Linked DNA regions of Saccharomyces cerevisiae S288C. Changing the gene in region 1 together with any one later gene gives a genetic interaction. Each region holds a gene or a part of one and is shown in the gene's direction. Other genes may lie near its edges.

The links.
Region 2: mutations in IDP3 (region 1) and YML003W together harm fitness more than expected from each alone (negative genetic interaction), as found in Saccharomyces cerevisiae (one large-scale study listed by BioGRID).
Region 3: mutations in IDP3 (region 1) and CRC1 together harm fitness less than expected from each alone (positive genetic interaction), as found in Saccharomyces cerevisiae (one large-scale study listed by BioGRID).
Region 4: mutations in IDP3 (region 1) and HXT16 together harm fitness more than expected from each alone (negative genetic interaction), as found in Saccharomyces cerevisiae (one large-scale study listed by BioGRID).

The regions. Positions count from the first base shown.
Region 1 is NC_001146.8:611,796-616,583, forward strand, and holds IDP3 (isocitrate dehydrogenase (NADP(+)) IDP3), read left to right. Parts: upstream 1-3,025; coding exon 3,026-4,288; downstream 4,289-4,788. Other genes in the region: YNL011C (uncharacterized protein), read right to left, coding at 41-1,375; PYP1 (putative phosphoric monoester hydrolase), read left to right, coding at 1,840-2,565; putative ubiquitin-protein ligase ASI3, read right to left, coding at 4,416-4,788. UniProt on the Saccharomyces cerevisiae protein: May function in the production of NADPH for fatty acid and sterol synthesis.
Region 2 is NC_001145.3:261,769-265,242, forward strand, and holds YML003W (uncharacterized protein), read left to right. Parts: upstream 1-1,714; coding exon 1,715-2,587; downstream 2,588-3,474. Other genes in the region: lactoylglutathione lyase GLO1, read right to left, coding at 1-917; VRL1 (Vrl1p), read left to right, coding at 2,773-3,474.
Region 3 is NC_001147.6:512,750-516,045, reverse strand, and holds CRC1 (carnitine:acyl carnitine antiporter), read left to right. Parts: upstream 1-1,767; coding exon 1,768-2,751; downstream 2,752-3,296. Other genes in the region: Ras family GTPase RAS1, read right to left, coding at 1-802; alpha-1,2-mannosyltransferase KTR1, read right to left, coding at 3,040-3,296. UniProt on the Saccharomyces cerevisiae protein: Transports carnitine, acetylcarnitine, propionylcarnitine and to a much lower extent medium- and long-chain acylcarnitines.
Region 4 is NC_001142.9:730,080-735,116, forward strand, and holds HXT16 (hexose transporter HXT16), read left to right. Parts: upstream 1-2,360; coding exon 2,361-4,064; downstream 4,065-5,037. UniProt on the Saccharomyces cerevisiae protein: Probable glucose transporter.

The DNA.
Region 1 (4,788 bases):
GTCTTCACTATAATAACCGTTAATGAGCGACATAGTTGCATCAGTTTTTAAGGCCAATTTGATTCAGAACCTTTTCAAGTTCTTCACTTTCCATCTTATCCGAAGACGCGATCTGGTGGCATCTAATACTATGCTTCTCGAATATCGTTTCATCAATTTCAATTTCACCATTTTTTAGGTAAACAATATCAGTAATAAAATCTTGCCATTCAAAGTCATCATTCTCTGAATGGACACCCTTAGATTGCCTATAGCCTGCTATTGCCCTACTCATAGAATCTATGATCATTTGAACGTAGTGTAAACCGTCTAAACCAAAAACCTCTCTATCATATTTATTATTTATGAGCAAAACTTTTTTCGTATTATTAGATTCCAAAATTACTTCAGCAAGATTACCAAGAATAAGGATTGGGAGTAAACTTGTCATTAAAGAACCGATAGAATAAACGACCATGTCAGCTTTTTTCACCTTGGAAATAGCTCTTGGATTTCCCATTGGTTTTATCTCTTCGCCATATGGGTTTATATACAATATCCTATGTACCGGAGCAGGTAGATTCTGTGATTCATCAAGCTTGTCAAAATGCAACTGGGAGTTTTTCAGTTCTGGAAGAATATAGATAGGATTGGCATACTCCTCTTCCGCTTCTTCTTCCTCATCGTCGAGGAGAATTTTCAAATGGTCGTCATAAGAGCCAAGTAAATGAATAAATTTAGCTGAATGTGCTATGCTATTATCTTTAGGAACAGATTTCGAGGGATGCGATATTTGTGATTGGCCAGTTATCATCTCACCATTCGTCAACAAAGCCGAGATATGATGTGTGTGATTGGTATTTATACATGGAATAACATGAACTAGAGGACTGCACCTTCCTATCCTCATCATTAGTTCAATAGATGCGTCTAGAGAACCTAAAAACAATCTAGCACCAGTTAAGAAAAAATTTCCAATGGATGCACTCTCAAACTGAAATGGATTCGAGTGTTTGATTTTTTTCAAGAGTTCTGCTTGCATATGGATAATAAAAGAACGACACATTTCCTTAACTTCTATCGAAATATTTTTCCATATGGGATGCGAACCTTCCACTATTTCATTCCATTCTTTCTTAGCTAATAACTTATCATTAGGTAGCCTATGGCCAAACAACTCGACAAGCTGTTCATCTTGAAGTAGTCTCACTATTCTAGATCTGATATCACCAATTGCTGGGCCACCAACTATTCGTAGAATTTCACTTGTGGACCCGCCATTATCTGATATTGGCAATATATACGTCAGCTCATGTCCTTTTAAGATAGAAATATTAGAAAAGCAAGGAGTCAATGAATTTGTGGCAGTCCCACCGGAGCACACAACGACGTTCATCTAGTAAACTATCTCACCACACTCTGCTATTTTGTCCCCTTATTACCTCGAGGGAACAAAAGATTCCGTTTCCTCTCTTTCATAGTCCGCCTAAATAGCTTAAGAAATAAACCCAAACATCACACATTAGCGTTCTTTAGGAAATACGAAACAGGTTAATACAACAGTAGTAACTTTCCACATAATATCTAAGCATTACACGCTGAAAAAAACTCTTTATTGGATATCAACAACCCAACACATTGTACGACATATTCTTTTATCGTTCTACTATGGTACCCTGTTCAAATCTCTTTTTCTAAAATGAGCGAAATTTTCGAAAATTATCGCATAATTTTTCATCATCTTAAATTAAAAAAATACAGTGTCCTCTATTGTTTATCTCAACAGAACGCACACATTCTTGAAACTTGCTCACATAACATAAGCTGGAGTGACATAGCATTTATATATATACAAGGGAAATGGTCAAAGCTGTTATTTTTACCGATTTCGACGGTACCGTTACTTTGGAAGATTCTAACGATTATCTGACCGATACTTTAGGTTTCGGTAAGGAAAAAAGATTAAAGGTCTTCGAAGGCGTGTTAGATGATACTAAGTCTTTTAGGCAAGGTTTCATGGAAATGCTGGAATCCATCCACACCCCTTTCCCTGAGTGTATCAAGATCTTAGAAAAGAAAATTCGATTGGATCCTGGTTTCAAGGATACATTCGAATGGGCTCAAGAAAATGATGTCCCTGTCATCGTTGTTTCCAGCGGAATGAAACCAATTATCAAGGTTTTATTGACCAGATTAGTTGGACAAGAGTCTATTCACAAAATTGACATTGTTTCCAATGAAGTGGAAATCGATGCACATGATCAATGGAAAATCATCTATAAGGATGAAAGTCCCTTCGGACATGACAAATCCAGAAGTATCGATGCTTATAAAAAGAAATTTGAATCTACCTTGAAAGCAGGTGAACAAAGACCCGTTTACTTTTACTGTGGTGACGGTGTTTCTGATCTAAGTGCTGCAAAAGAATGTGATTTGCTATTTGCCAAAAGAGGTAAAGATTTGGTCACTTATTGTAAAAAACAAAACGTCCCATTCCATGAATTCGATACCTTCAAAGACATCTTGGCTAGCATGAAACAAGTTCTGGCTGGTGAAAAGACAGTCGCTGAATTGATGGAAAATTAGTGCAAGACTCTTACGAAATATTAAAGTTTAATACCGTGTAACTGCCTCTTACATATGTATGCATATATACGTACGTACTATATTTTTCTTGTATATCTTTTTTATTGTCTGAGAGAAAGAACATCAAAAAATAAAGGAAGATCCTCCTCGGATTTAGCATGCTTAATGCCGAATCTTTAATACAAAACGAATGATATTTCAAGTATACTAATTAGAAATCAATCAAACATACCAAAAGGGACAGTAAAGAGAAAAGCAGGAGCTCTCTTTTAGGGGAAAAGTAAAATGTGATTAGTATTTCGTTGCGTGTACTAGTCAACTCTTCTTGTCATTCTTAAATTTACATTAATTACCCCAATTTTGCATCTTCGTATATAAGAGTGTTCCCCTTATAAGCTTTCTCCTGCACATACCTGCAGTAAACACAAGCAACACTTTAGAGATAGTTGTCCAAGTTAAAATGAGTAAAATTAAAGTTGTTCATCCCATCGTGGAAATGGACGGTGATGAGCAGACAAGAGTTATTTGGAAACTTATCAAAGAAAAATTGATATTGCCATATTTAGATGTGGATTTAAAATACTATGACCTTTCAATCCAAGAGCGTGATAGGACTAATGATCAAGTAACAAAGGATTCTTCTTATGCTACCCTAAAATATGGGGTTGCTGTCAAATGTGCCACTATAACACCCGATGAGGCAAGAATGAAAGAATTTAACCTTAAAGAAATGTGGAAATCTCCAAATGGAACAATCAGAAACATCCTAGGTGGAACTGTATTTAGAGAACCCATCATTATTCCAAAAATACCTCGTCTAGTCCCTCACTGGGAGAAACCTATAATTATAGGCCGTCATGCTTTTGGTGACCAATATAGGGCTACTGACATCAAGATTAAAAAAGCAGGCAAACTAAGGTTACAGTTTAGCTCAGATGACGGTAAAGAAAACATCGATTTAAAGGTTTATGAATTTCCTAAAAGTGGTGGGATCGCAATGGCAATGTTTAATACAAATGATTCCATTAAAGGGTTCGCAAAGGCATCCTTCGAATTAGCTCTCAAAAGAAAACTACCGTTATTCTTTACAACCAAAAACACTATTCTGAAAAATTATGATAATCAGTTCAAACAAATTTTCGATAATTTGTTCGATAAAGAATATAAGGAAAAGTTTCAGGCTTTAAAAATAACGTACGAGCATCGTTTGATTGATGATATGGTAGCACAGATGCTAAAATCAAAGGGCGGGTTTATAATCGCCATGAAGAATTATGATGGCGATGTCCAGTCTGACATTGTGGCACAAGGATTTGGGTCTCTTGGTTTAATGACGTCCATATTGATTACACCTGATGGTAAAACGTTTGAAAGCGAGGCTGCCCATGGTACGGTGACCAGACATTTTAGAAAACATCAAAGAGGCGAAGAAACATCAACAAATTCAATAGCCTCAATATTTGCCTGGACAAGGGCAATTATACAAAGAGGAAAATTAGACAATACAGATGATGTTATAAAATTTGGAAACTTACTAGAAAAGGCTACTTTGGACACAGTTCAAGTGGGCGGAAAAATGACCAAGGATTTAGCATTGATGCTTGGAAAGACTAATAGATCATCATATGTAACCACAGAAGAGTTTATTGATGAAGTTGCCAAGAGGCTTCAAAACATGATGCTCAGCTCCAATGAAGACAAGAAAGGTATGTGCAAACTATAAACCAATCCGCCATTCATTTGAAAAGACAAGTCTGGCCTAGGGTTATAGTGTTCAGACTTGAGGTTGAACATATCCAAAAAAAAAAATTCCTATGATGTCTTAAATACGTATACCTAATAAAATAATTCTAGACTATATTCAACTTACTGTAACCCTTCACCTCACTATCACAGCTGACGCATGTAGCAAATCCTTTATAACCCAGAGATATCCTACAATCATCGCATAATGCAAGGCATCTACAGGGCCAAGTTACAATATTTCTTTTATTAACTTTGCAGATTAGGCAGGAGAGATCCATTTCCTCCACTTCGTCGCAACTATCAAAGGCAAAATCAAACTTGAACTCTAATTTGTCATCGTCCTTCATATTTAAACGTTTGTACATATACCTGGAGTTTGTATGATGCAGAAGGCGTTCAATAACAACATCGACTAGTACACCTTGTGGGTTTCTTTTACCATATTGTGATCTAGTCAACGGTCCATTAACCTTATTA
Region 2 (3,474 bases), on another chromosome or scaffold:
ATATTCTTCATTCTGCCTTGGTTAAATTTAGGAGACCATTGGATCTTATCGCCGTATTTCACTTCAATTTCTTTACAAAGGGCGCCAGCGTCATCACAACTTATGCAGATGTGACCATAACCCTGGGGCTCTGAGTTACCGTTATGATAGTGGAAGTTTGGATCATTCTCAGTTCCCCAATTATGAGTTAACTCCAACACACTTTCACATGAAAAAACGCTGTCGGTCTTTGGAACGCCATAACCAAGAAAGTATAACGTAAATTTTGCACTTTCGTGCTCACTAGTTCTTAATAATTTCATGCCCAACACATTCTGGTAGAATTCTAAAGACCGGGTTGGGTTTTTAATACGAATCATGGTATGATTGAACTTGTTACCTACTGAGCCCTTTGGGTATTCCTGACCCTCTCTAGAATATGTGATCAACTCAATCCAGTATCCATCAGGGCCTAAAGCAAACGCAATGTCCTTCTGTCTTCCTTCAGAGAGTCTCTTCTTGAATTTGACACCCTGAGATTCTAGCTCTTCGCAGGTTTTATTGATATCGGATACAGAAAAACAGATGTGCCCAAATCCACGATGAGGTTCCTCATTCCCGTTGTTGATCTTGTAGTCTGGGTTTTTTTCAGTACCCCAATTGTGAGTTAGTTCTAAGACACCGTGTGCGCTAAAAACATCAGGCTCTCCATTCTTATTTTTGGGTATGTCGTCTTTTGGAAAGCTTAAAAAGTACAAGCTAAATTTTGCTTCTTCAAAATCCTTTCTGCTTAATAGCTTCATACCGAAGTGTTCGGTGTAGAACTTAACGGTCCTTGCTGGATCCTTGACTCTTAAACATGTGTGATTAAGCAGAAGGGTTGGATCATTCGAGGCTTTCTCAATCTGAATTGGATAGCGTGTACTATCAGTGGACATTGTTAGTTTGTAGCTGGTGGCGTATCTGGTCTGAAGTGTCAAAAAAAAGGCATGGAAATGTTATTCCGATTTTTTTTCTCCCTATTTATAAACGTCACTAACTAGAAATACGGGATATCAACTACTACGAGAGAGGGACATTCTAGTATCAAAGAAACTTACTATGACGCAGTTTAGGATCCCTGTGGTGACTACGTATCCAGGTCTACTACTCCATCGTAAAGCCCCTTGTTTATTCAGTGTCCAGATCATATGCGGGATGTGTATTTTGTGCTGAGTGGAAAAATAAGATCATATGCTCAAGAATAAAGGGTTAAAGGGTATGGAAATTTCAGTTCTCCCTGGCTCAAGAACATTGTCAGTATTCCTATAACTGAAGCTGAGTGGTACTAATGCACCGAGATGCAAAGTCCGAACCACCCCCACCCCCCTCTTTACCTATTTTTTATATTTTGTGATAAAGGGATAACTCGTCTTGCCTTCACTGCGCTTCGATTCTACTTTAGCTAAACTAAGCGTTACTTTGTTTGAGAATCTCTCAGCCGTTAAATCAACGTACTTGTATACTAAACAGTATATTCACGTGATAACTTTGCCTTACACCTATGATATAGATAAATATATACATATATATGAGTGTGTGTGCATTGCGTCACTAAACTATGTTTAATATGACAGAAGGTTTTCGTTTAATTTTGCCGCTACCCGAAAATTTTGGCAGTTGCAATTTATAACTAAAGGAACCACCTTATTGTAAATTCCTCAACGGAAAAGCTATGGCTTAGCTAGGGTTGACAATGTCAGTTTACCATTTACCAACGCTGTTGAACCCGCTGGTTAATGCTATATTTAACTGTCCCGAACCAGAAAGATCCCCATTGAAAAAGCTTTTCGCTAATTTAAAAACCCGTAGGTTTATCCTCCTAGCACCTCCTTCAGAATACCTTTTGAATTACCACGATGTCAAGAGCAAACTGCCGTTACATGACCTCTGTTATAATGCAGAGTTTATTAACTCTTACATATTGTTAATGACTGAAAACTCTTACATAAATACGAATTCAAGGGACAGTCATTATGAAACGTTAGATGGTAAGACCGTTGTTATTCAATGGAAGAATAATGTGATCCATGCCTTAAATGGATTTCATATAAGGCGAAGACTAAAGATTCTAGAGACAAAAATATTACCCAATTTTAATGACTACTTTGAAGGGGCGGCTGATTTTATCATACTATTCATAGATCAACCTTTAAATTGCGAATTTGTACCTAACGACTACTTACAGTGTTTTCACAATTATGAGAAAATACCAAAAAATGCACATGCTATGCCAAATCTGTCGATAGATTCTTTTCAGCAAGAAAGATCGTCATTCGAGAATATATTGCACATTCATCCTGCTCGATTAACACAGCTTGGCCAATTGTTTTCGAGTTACAGAACGCTCGCTCCTGGTGATGATCCATCTAGAAGTATTTTTGAAAGCATCGTGCAACAAGCATTTGATGGAATGAAATCGGATTCACTTTTCAAGAACTTTTCTAATCTTTACGATCTTATACACGACTATTTTGAACTAAATCTTTACGATGATATATGGTCTAGGCTTACTACACATTTCAAAGGCCACGAAGTAGACACTGAAAAAATAAATATTTTTCAGTGAACCAGTTGTTGACAGATTTTTACTCAAAAGATTATGGGGAATTTAAATTACACGACATCACTCTTATTGAAAGGCGTCTCCATCTAGCGTCCAAACATCTTCAAAAGTTGGCTTTGACCCATTCATACGCTGAAAAATCTAAAATATTAGTTGAAACTCTACAGAAATTATCAGGTACTACCGAAATGGATTCACATCAACTAGAACTACCAGACGGATTGAATAACATGACGATGGATGCAGACACTTTAATTAGCCTTTTTGTGCTCGTTGTTTGCAGAAGTGAACAAAAGCACCTTAAAAGTCATCTTTACTATTTGCAAAATTTTTCGAATAACTCTTCTTCTACAAAATTCGGCATTCTAGGGTATGCTGTATCCACACTGGAAGCAGTGGTTTGTTATTTCGAAGACTTCAACAAAAATACAGGCAACGTGGCGAAAGCTAACACATTATGTGAAAAAACTAAGAATTTATTAGATAAGTTGTCATGTGAAAACCCCACAAATGAAGTAGAAGATCTGGCAACATACAAGGATATTTTGACCTACAGAAATGAGCAAGGACAATCCATTCTATCCATATGTATAACAAATCATAAAAACTACATCTTATTAGATATTCTTTCTGAATATGAAAACGACTTTCCAGTAGAAGACCTTTTAGAGGACGAAACGATTGATGGTTCTACGCTGCTTATAGAATCGATAAAAGCAGGAAATTTAGAAGCCGCGAAAGTTCTCATAAAGATCATGCTGTTCAATTGTACTGAAGAGGAGCTGGTTTCTTATATCAATAAAACAGATAAATATGCACGTACCGTGGCTCATTATCTAACCCATGAAATGGATATACTTAAAAGCATCGGAAATTATATTGATTGGAAA
Region 3 (3,296 bases), on another chromosome or scaffold:
TTCGATTTCCGTTGCCGTTACTGGAGTACTTGGTATTTCCTTCATTGTTATTGTTTTGATTAACGTAATTCTTTTCATCAGTTCGTTTAGTAGTTTCACCGTTATGGTTAACGGCTGACTTTGAACTGGAGCCAGTGCCAGCATTGGTCAAAGAATTATCGAGTACATAAGACCCGTTGTTCTTTTTTTCTCTATCCGCTGTTGCAGATGAGGTTAGCTCCGAATCTCTTATTTCATTCGTATTATCCAGTTGACGATTCATGCTATTGTATTTCCCACCGTCGTCCCTTACCAAACGAATAAGGCTATAAAAGGCCTCGTCTACGTTGATGGCTTGTTTCGCAGACGTTTCTAGAAAGGGTGCATTCAACTGCTTGGCCAGGCGTAACCCGTCTTCATAAGAGACTTGTCTTTCATTTTCAAGGTCCAATTTGTTACCTACCACGACTACAGGAATGTAGTCAGAATCTTTTACTCTTTGAATTTGCTGATAATAAGACAGTAACTCATCAAAGGAATTTCTAGAGGTGACGGAATAGACCAGTAGGAAACCTTCCCCAGTCCTCATGTACTGTTCTCTCATCGCAGAATACTCTTCTTGTCCAGCAGTATCTAGAATGTCCAAAATGGATACTTTGTCATCGATGACAACTTGTTTTCTGTAAGAATCTTCGATAGTAGGGTCATATTCGTCCACAAAGTATGATTGAATGAATTGAATTGTTAAAGCAGATTTACCAACGCCACCTCCACCGACAACTACTATCTTATACTCTCTTATAGTTGATTTATTTCCCTGCATGTCGTTCTAAAAAGGGAAAATTTTGTTTACCTGTTCAATCGTGAAATAGCCAAACCGAAGTCAATTGTGGCAGCAGTTAATTAAGCATTGCAAGAAAGAACAAGACAGATGATAATAGAGACACCGTACAAGAAAGAATCCAAATTAAGAGAACCATACAAAGACATAAAATATAAACCTTTCAATGTAAAACAAAAGGAGGAAAAAACCTGAAAAGCCGTGAAAAATTCATAATCTTGCGATGAGTTGAAAAAGTTTGTTGTCAAATGTCCATAGACTTACATGTAGTAAATATTTTTGGTTTCTTTTTTTTTCTTCGTGCTTTTTTTTTTTCCTACGGGTTTACATTGTGCCAATGTGAATTTCCCCGCCACTCCCTACCGAACGGGTAGCAGCGTAGAACATAGCGATCAAGGGTGTGCTAAGTGAAGAAGCAATTCAGTGCGGGTAATACATATTCCTAGCCTCGTTTGCCGTTACATTGCATTGATGGTACAATAAAGGGCATGCTTTATATCGAGATGTTTCAGTGTATATGAGGGGAAACAGAAAAGAGTCATTCCTGCCATTTTTTGGTCACTGCTTTTTCTGCTATGAGTAATGGTGAAGTTCCTTGTGGCTACACGCTTAATGTCATCGGGTTACTGCTCCTAATATCCGCATATAAGCTTTATGCAGGGATCAGTTGGGCGGCTATTTATCTACACCCAGTCATCCGGCGTGACTGGATCTCCACTTGCCGCAATAAGTCGGTGGACAAATGGAGATTTAAGAGTAAAGATGCATGATGGTATAATTCCTTTAGTCGAAATAGATATATTTCAAGCGCATATATAGGCAGACGCTTGTACTGTAGAAATAGCCGATATTCAATTGCGCTCTATGTGTGTTTTTATTCCAGGTTTTCCTTGGATTCTACGTATTGTACGACTTTCTTATCCTCCACAAACGTCATCGTGTCAGTAATGTCTTCAGACACTTCATTATCAGAATCTTCATTATTGAAAGAAGAGAGTGGGAGCTTGACCAAGTCTCGTCCACCTATAAAATCAAACCCTGTACGCGAAAATATCAAATCATTTGTGGCCGGTGGAGTTGGCGGGGTATGTGCGGTGTTTACGGGTCATCCCTTCGATTTGATTAAAGTGAGATGTCAAAATGGACAAGCGAATTCCACGGTACATGCCATTACAAATATTATAAAAGAAGCAAAAACTCAAGTAAAGGGCACATTATTTACCAATTCCGTAAAGGGGTTCTATAAAGGTGTTATCCCGCCCTTATTAGGTGTTACTCCCATATTCGCTGTTTCTTTCTGGGGTTACGATGTGGGTAAGAAACTGGTTACTTTTAATAACAAGCAAGGAGGCAGTAACGAGTTAACTATGGGACAAATGGCTGCAGCAGGATTTATCAGCGCTATTCCTACCACTTTAGTGACTGCGCCAACGGAAAGAGTAAAGGTTGTCCTGCAAACATCTTCTAAGGGCTCTTTCATTCAGGCGGCTAAAACCATTGTTAAAGAAGGTGGCATAGCTTCTTTATTTAAAGGTTCATTAGCCACTTTAGCAAGAGATGGGCCTGGCTCAGCTCTATATTTTGCATCTTATGAAATTTCAAAAAATTACTTGAATAGTAGGCAACCTCGTCAAGATGCGGGCAAAGATGAACCGGTCAATATCTTGAACGTGTGTCTTGCTGGTGGTATTGCTGGTATGTCGATGTGGCTAGCTGTTTTCCCCATAGACACTATAAAGACAAAATTGCAGGCTTCCTCCACGAGGCAGAATATGCTTTCCGCCACAAAGGAAATTTATCTACAAAGAGGTGGTATCAAGGGATTTTTCCCTGGTTTAGGTCCTGCTTTACTAAGATCTTTCCCAGCCAATGCGGCCACATTTTTAGGTGTGGAGATGACTCATTCACTGTTCAAGAAGTATGGCATATGATTAAATTTTTGTTAGGTGGACCTGCCTCCCATTTTTTTCTGGCATTCCTTTTGGGAACTTTTTGTTATTTTTTGGTTCTGCAATTTCGTTCAGTGTATGGTAGAAAATATCAGTTGGGTTATCCCGGTTTCCTTGGCGTTGTTGTCGAAGCGTTCATATTTGTAACGCAATGGAGTAAATATAAATGTGATATGTAAAAAAAAGAGTTATAATTTATTCTGTTTCTTTAAATAGTATAAATAAAAAAAGTGGAAAATACAAAGACAACGTGGGCTGATTACAGTATAATCAACCGATATGGTTTTGCCAACCAGCAGGCTTTGGCAACTTGTTTATATTGTAGAATTTAGTAGTACATGAATAACTGTGCCATGTGAAATCTTTGCTTGGATCACAGTCACATTTGTTAGCCAGTCTGATACTTGTGTCTATTGGACAGGAGTGAAATGGAACATGGTAATAACCAATATCACCGAAGTGATGGATTTCAGAGCGGTCCAAGAACAGCGCAGCACCAATAGAATGAACTGGAGCATCACCCCATC
Region 4 (5,037 bases), on another chromosome or scaffold:
AGTATCTGAACTAGGATAATTTCGATTATAACTCTAACATTTTTTACGTTTTCTCCATATTTCGAATTGTTCCTTCTTCAATCAAAATAATAAAAAAAAAAAATCACAAAAATGACTATAGTATTTTGAGCCCAACATGACTGCGAAATTGCTATTAACAATGATTAGTCAGTAGTATTGAATAACTTAGAATTTAAAACTACCTTATACAAGATGGGCATATAAAGGACATGCCAAATGGACATATTAAATACGCTCGATGTACCAGAACATCCAGGAACTTACCATAGAAAAATATGTAACGACTTATAAACTTTAAATAAATTAGAGATTCAATGAATCTCTAATTTTTTCCGCCCGCCTATTGAACTTTTACTTTGTCATTAATCTATTCTGAAATAGGTACAGAGCGACGCCAGTGTAAACATATGTGTGATGGACATCAGCATTCAATGTATATCTTATCACACCAGTTTATCCAAAGATAGATGCAGTTTTGAAATTGGTTACTTAGAATATTTCTACTACATTTCGATAACAAATATAACTATTTTGAATTTAAAAGTTGAGTATCCAAAAATTTTAGAAATACATACAATTACTTCCCAATTACTTCCCAAATATTCTCCCCCCTGGTTTGATATCATAAAAGCACCTTATGGCAACAAGATTCCCGGGATAGTAATGCTATTTAAATGTATATCTATTTCTCGAATACTTGTATCTTTACTCCACTACCCCTATGCAAGAAGATACGCGATAGTTTTTGTTCCTTCCTCTTCCTACTCTGTTAATTAACTGAAAATTATTTATATTGAAAAGGTACTTGTAGCAAATTAGACAAGGAATTCTCCTGGTATAAAGTTAGAGAAACAGAAATATGAAACGGCCACCCCAGGTATGAAATATTATCTTAAGAAGAGCCATGAACACACATGAATAGATTCTTGAGACATGCTTAGGGTAACAAAGACTGTAACGCCTTGTTGCAATACTGCTTTATTCAAATTTTTAAATTGTACGGAATTGTGGTAAGGAGAATGTGCAAATAACTTAGCATGAAACGGTGCTATAGTTGAATCATTGTATGAGGTAACATCACTTCAACGAAAAGAAGAATAAAATTGACCTGCACATGGAGAAAGCGTAATATATAAAAAATGTTTACAATTTTGGCGCACTATATGGGAGAACAGCTGCTGGATAATATTATGCCCTTACTTCATTTCACCATATCCGTTTACAGTTCAAATCTCGCCGTCGAGCCATAAATTCTCAAAATTCCTTTGCAAATATTTTGCTTACCTGTAACCGGCAGCTTACATTCTTCCGTCATAATTTCTCAGACGGATGACATAAACCATTTTTTCAGAATCCTCGATAACATAATCGATCAAAACAGTAATAAACATTCTCTTGCACAAAATGGACTTTGGCAGCAAATCCTGAAATATTGTGGAGTATTGCCAGAGGTAAAAGCAACGTTGAACAAATTATGACACTAGACCTCTTAGGCATAAAGATGACATCATCTAGGTACTCGTAAAGATCCTAACCACAGATTCCACCTTAAAAGACGACAATAGTAACTTTGTCCTTGATCTGGGTTACTAAATCAGCGATATGATCATTAAAGTGAATATCCCCTTCTTAAAATGTACCAAATATCTTATACGTTTGCAGTTTTTCTTTTCCTTTTTCTTTATTTCTTTGGTAAGGACTAGGTAATTATTTCCGTATTTGGCTCCTTTGGCGCTTAAAAAATCTTGTACGCAAATTTCCACAAGATATTGCGTGACAATTACTATTACTGAAGTTGAACTTGTTTCATGTCTCCGCCTGTGTTAACTCCGTTTTGCTTAACTCCGTCTCGTATTACAGTAAATTCATGATGTGCCTATGAATATGCAGCTAGCCTGCTGCAGGCAAAATTATTTTTAGCTTTGTGCGCTACAGTGGTAGTAACTTAAAACTTAAAAGCTAAAATGCAAAAACAGTAGAGTGCGGGGTATGCTTTTCTTTTGAACGTGCACTGCGCAGAGGCACAATTTAGCAAAGAAGTCAGGCAAGGTAGATGATGTAAACAAACGAGGACTTGTACTGCGCATCTTGAACCTTTCAATATCATAAGTGCAATCAGCTAAAGGTTTGATTTTCCGAATGCTCTGCAAAAAAGTTAAACATGGTTATATAACTCAAGTATGATAACTCCAGTGTTGGCCTGTAATCACCAACTTTCAAACGTATAAAGAAAGTAAGTAATTCATTGTTTGCTTCAGGTTTAGTCTTATTACTATCCATAGAAGTAAAACTATTGATATTATTGACAGAAAAGGAGGAAAGGAAACTAAAGGAAAAAAATGGCAAGCGAACAGTCCTCACCAGAAATTAATGCAGATAATCTAAACAGTAGTGCAGCTGACGTTCATGTACAGCCACCCGGAGAGAAAGAATGGTCAGACGGGTTTTATGACAAAGAAGTCATTAATGGAAATACGCCAGACGCACCGAAGAGAGGCTTTTTAGGTTACCTTATTATCTACTTACTATGCTATCCTGTATCCTTTGGCGGTTTTTTACCTGGTTGGGATAGTGGTATTACTGCAGGCTTCATCAATATGGATAACTTTAAAATGAATTTTGGTTCTTACAAGCACAGTACTGGTGAGTATTATTTGAGCAACGTGCGTATGGGTCTTCTCGTGGCCATGTTCAGTGTAGGATGTTCCATTGGCGGTGTTGCTTTTGCGAGACTTGCTGATACTTTAGGTAGAAGGCTAGCAATTGTAATCGTGGTTTTGGTATATATGGTTGGTGCAATTATTCAGATCAGTTCGAATCACAAATGGTACCAATACTTTGTCGGTAAGATCATCTACGGTCTTGGTGCTGGTGGCTGTTCGGTGTTGTGTCCAATGCTTTTATCTGAAATAGCCCCCACAGATTTGAGAGGTGGACTTGTCTCATTGTACCAACTTAACATGACCTTCGGTATTTTCTTGGGTTATTGTAGCGTTTATGGAACAAGGAAGTATAGTAATACTGCGCAATGGAGGATTCCTGTGGGACTATGCTTTCTGTGGGCTCTAATTATCATCGTTGGCATGTTATTAGTTCCAGAGTCCCCAAGATATCTGATTGAATGTGAGAGACATGAAGAGGCCTGTGTCTCCATCGCCAAGATCGACAAGGTTTCACCAGAGGATCCATGGGTACTCAAACAGGCTGATGAAATCAACGCCGGTGTCCTTGCCCAAAGAGAACTAGGGGAAGCCTCATGGAAAGAACTTTTCTCCGTCAAAACAAAAGTCCTTCAACGTTTGATCACAGGTATTCTTGTGCAAACCTTTTTGCAACTTACTGGTGAAAACTACTTCTTCTTCTACGGAACTACCATTTTCAAATCAGTTGGGCTTACTGATGGGTTTGAGACTTCGATCGTCCTAGGTACAGTGAATTTCTTCTCCACTATTATTGCTGTTATGGTCGTAGACAAAATAGGCCGTCGTAAATGTCTGTTATTCGGAGCGGCTTCAATGATGGCTTGTATGGTCATATTTGCAAGTATCGGGGTAAAATGTCTTTACCCTCATGGCCAGGATGGTCCATCCTCGAAAGGTGCAGGTAATGCCATGATTGTGTTCACATGCTTCTATATATTCTGCTTTGCAACGACATGGGCCCCTGTTGCTTATATTGTGGTTGCCGAGTCATTCCCTTCGAAGGTCAAATCTAAAGCAATGTCAATTTCGACTGCATTCAACTGGTTATGGCAATTCTTGATTGGTTTTTTCACACCATTCATTACTGGGTCTATCCACTTCTATTATGGTTATGTGTTCGTAGGTTGTTTGGTTGCTATGTTTTTGTACGTTTTCTTCTTTTTACCAGAAACAATTGGTCTATCTTTGGAGGAAACCCAGTTACTATATGAAGAAGGTATAAAACCATGGAAATCTGCATCTTGGGTACCACCCTCAAGGAGAGGAGCTTCTTCCAGGGAAACTGAGGCTAAGAAGAAAAGCTGGAAAGAAGTTTTGAAGTTCCCAAAGAGTTTTAATTGATCAATATGCGCGCTTGATAAACATGCTAAGAGATAAATTCTTGAAAAAAAATAGGGCCTACTGTAAAACGAAGTGACACGTAATTTCAAATTTAATCAACAAAAAACTACGAGTTTCTTTGCAAACTCCCTTTTTCGGACTACTAGTACTATATAAAATAACGAGTTATTTAGTGAAAGAAAGCGTTTGGTTAAGGCAACATTGTACGAAGTTCTGTTTCTTTAAGGCAAAGCAGAGTATAAAAAGTAGGATGCTTATGGAGTGAAAACGGAGTGGTGATGAAGATGGGGAAGTCAACATAGGTCCACTTGAGTGCTTATGGAAGATCCTTAAAAATGCATTTCCAGGAACGTAACACTGTACCATTCCTCTAAATAAAGTGTATACAATAATATAGAAATATAGATTCTTCCCAAATATTCAGTTGTTACTATAAAGGGAATATTTGAGCTCGTTATTAGCGTGGCCGCACAAACAACCATCATATTAGAAGAGATAACTTTGTTTCAACTCGGGGGGGCAAACTTTCTCATGCTTCGTTAACTTGGCAAATACAACAAGCATACTTTTTGCGGTGAAAACATTTTGAGGCATGTTTCCACACAACATAATAGCGAATGGAGTAAGATTTTTTTTGTAGTACAGTAAAAAGACCTCATATAGGTACCCGTACAAAGTCTCTGACCTCTCTGGGTGACCTGGGTCATTAGTAGTTCAAGGAGCATCTGCCACTAAAAGATTTGTGACCTAACTGTGGTAGTAACCGTTAAAGACACGGTATTGAAACAATGGGTTCAAAACAGTCGAGGGTTTTAGCATTTAAGTCGGCATATGTCCATTTCTATCCTTTTTCCAAGTCTATTGAGTTTCTTTATCTTTTTACTTATTTCCTTTTTGAAAGGTCTTACGACAAAGTTCAAAGCTTGATGAATTGTCTATTACTTTATTTGCTAAATTGAAACTCTGGATGAGT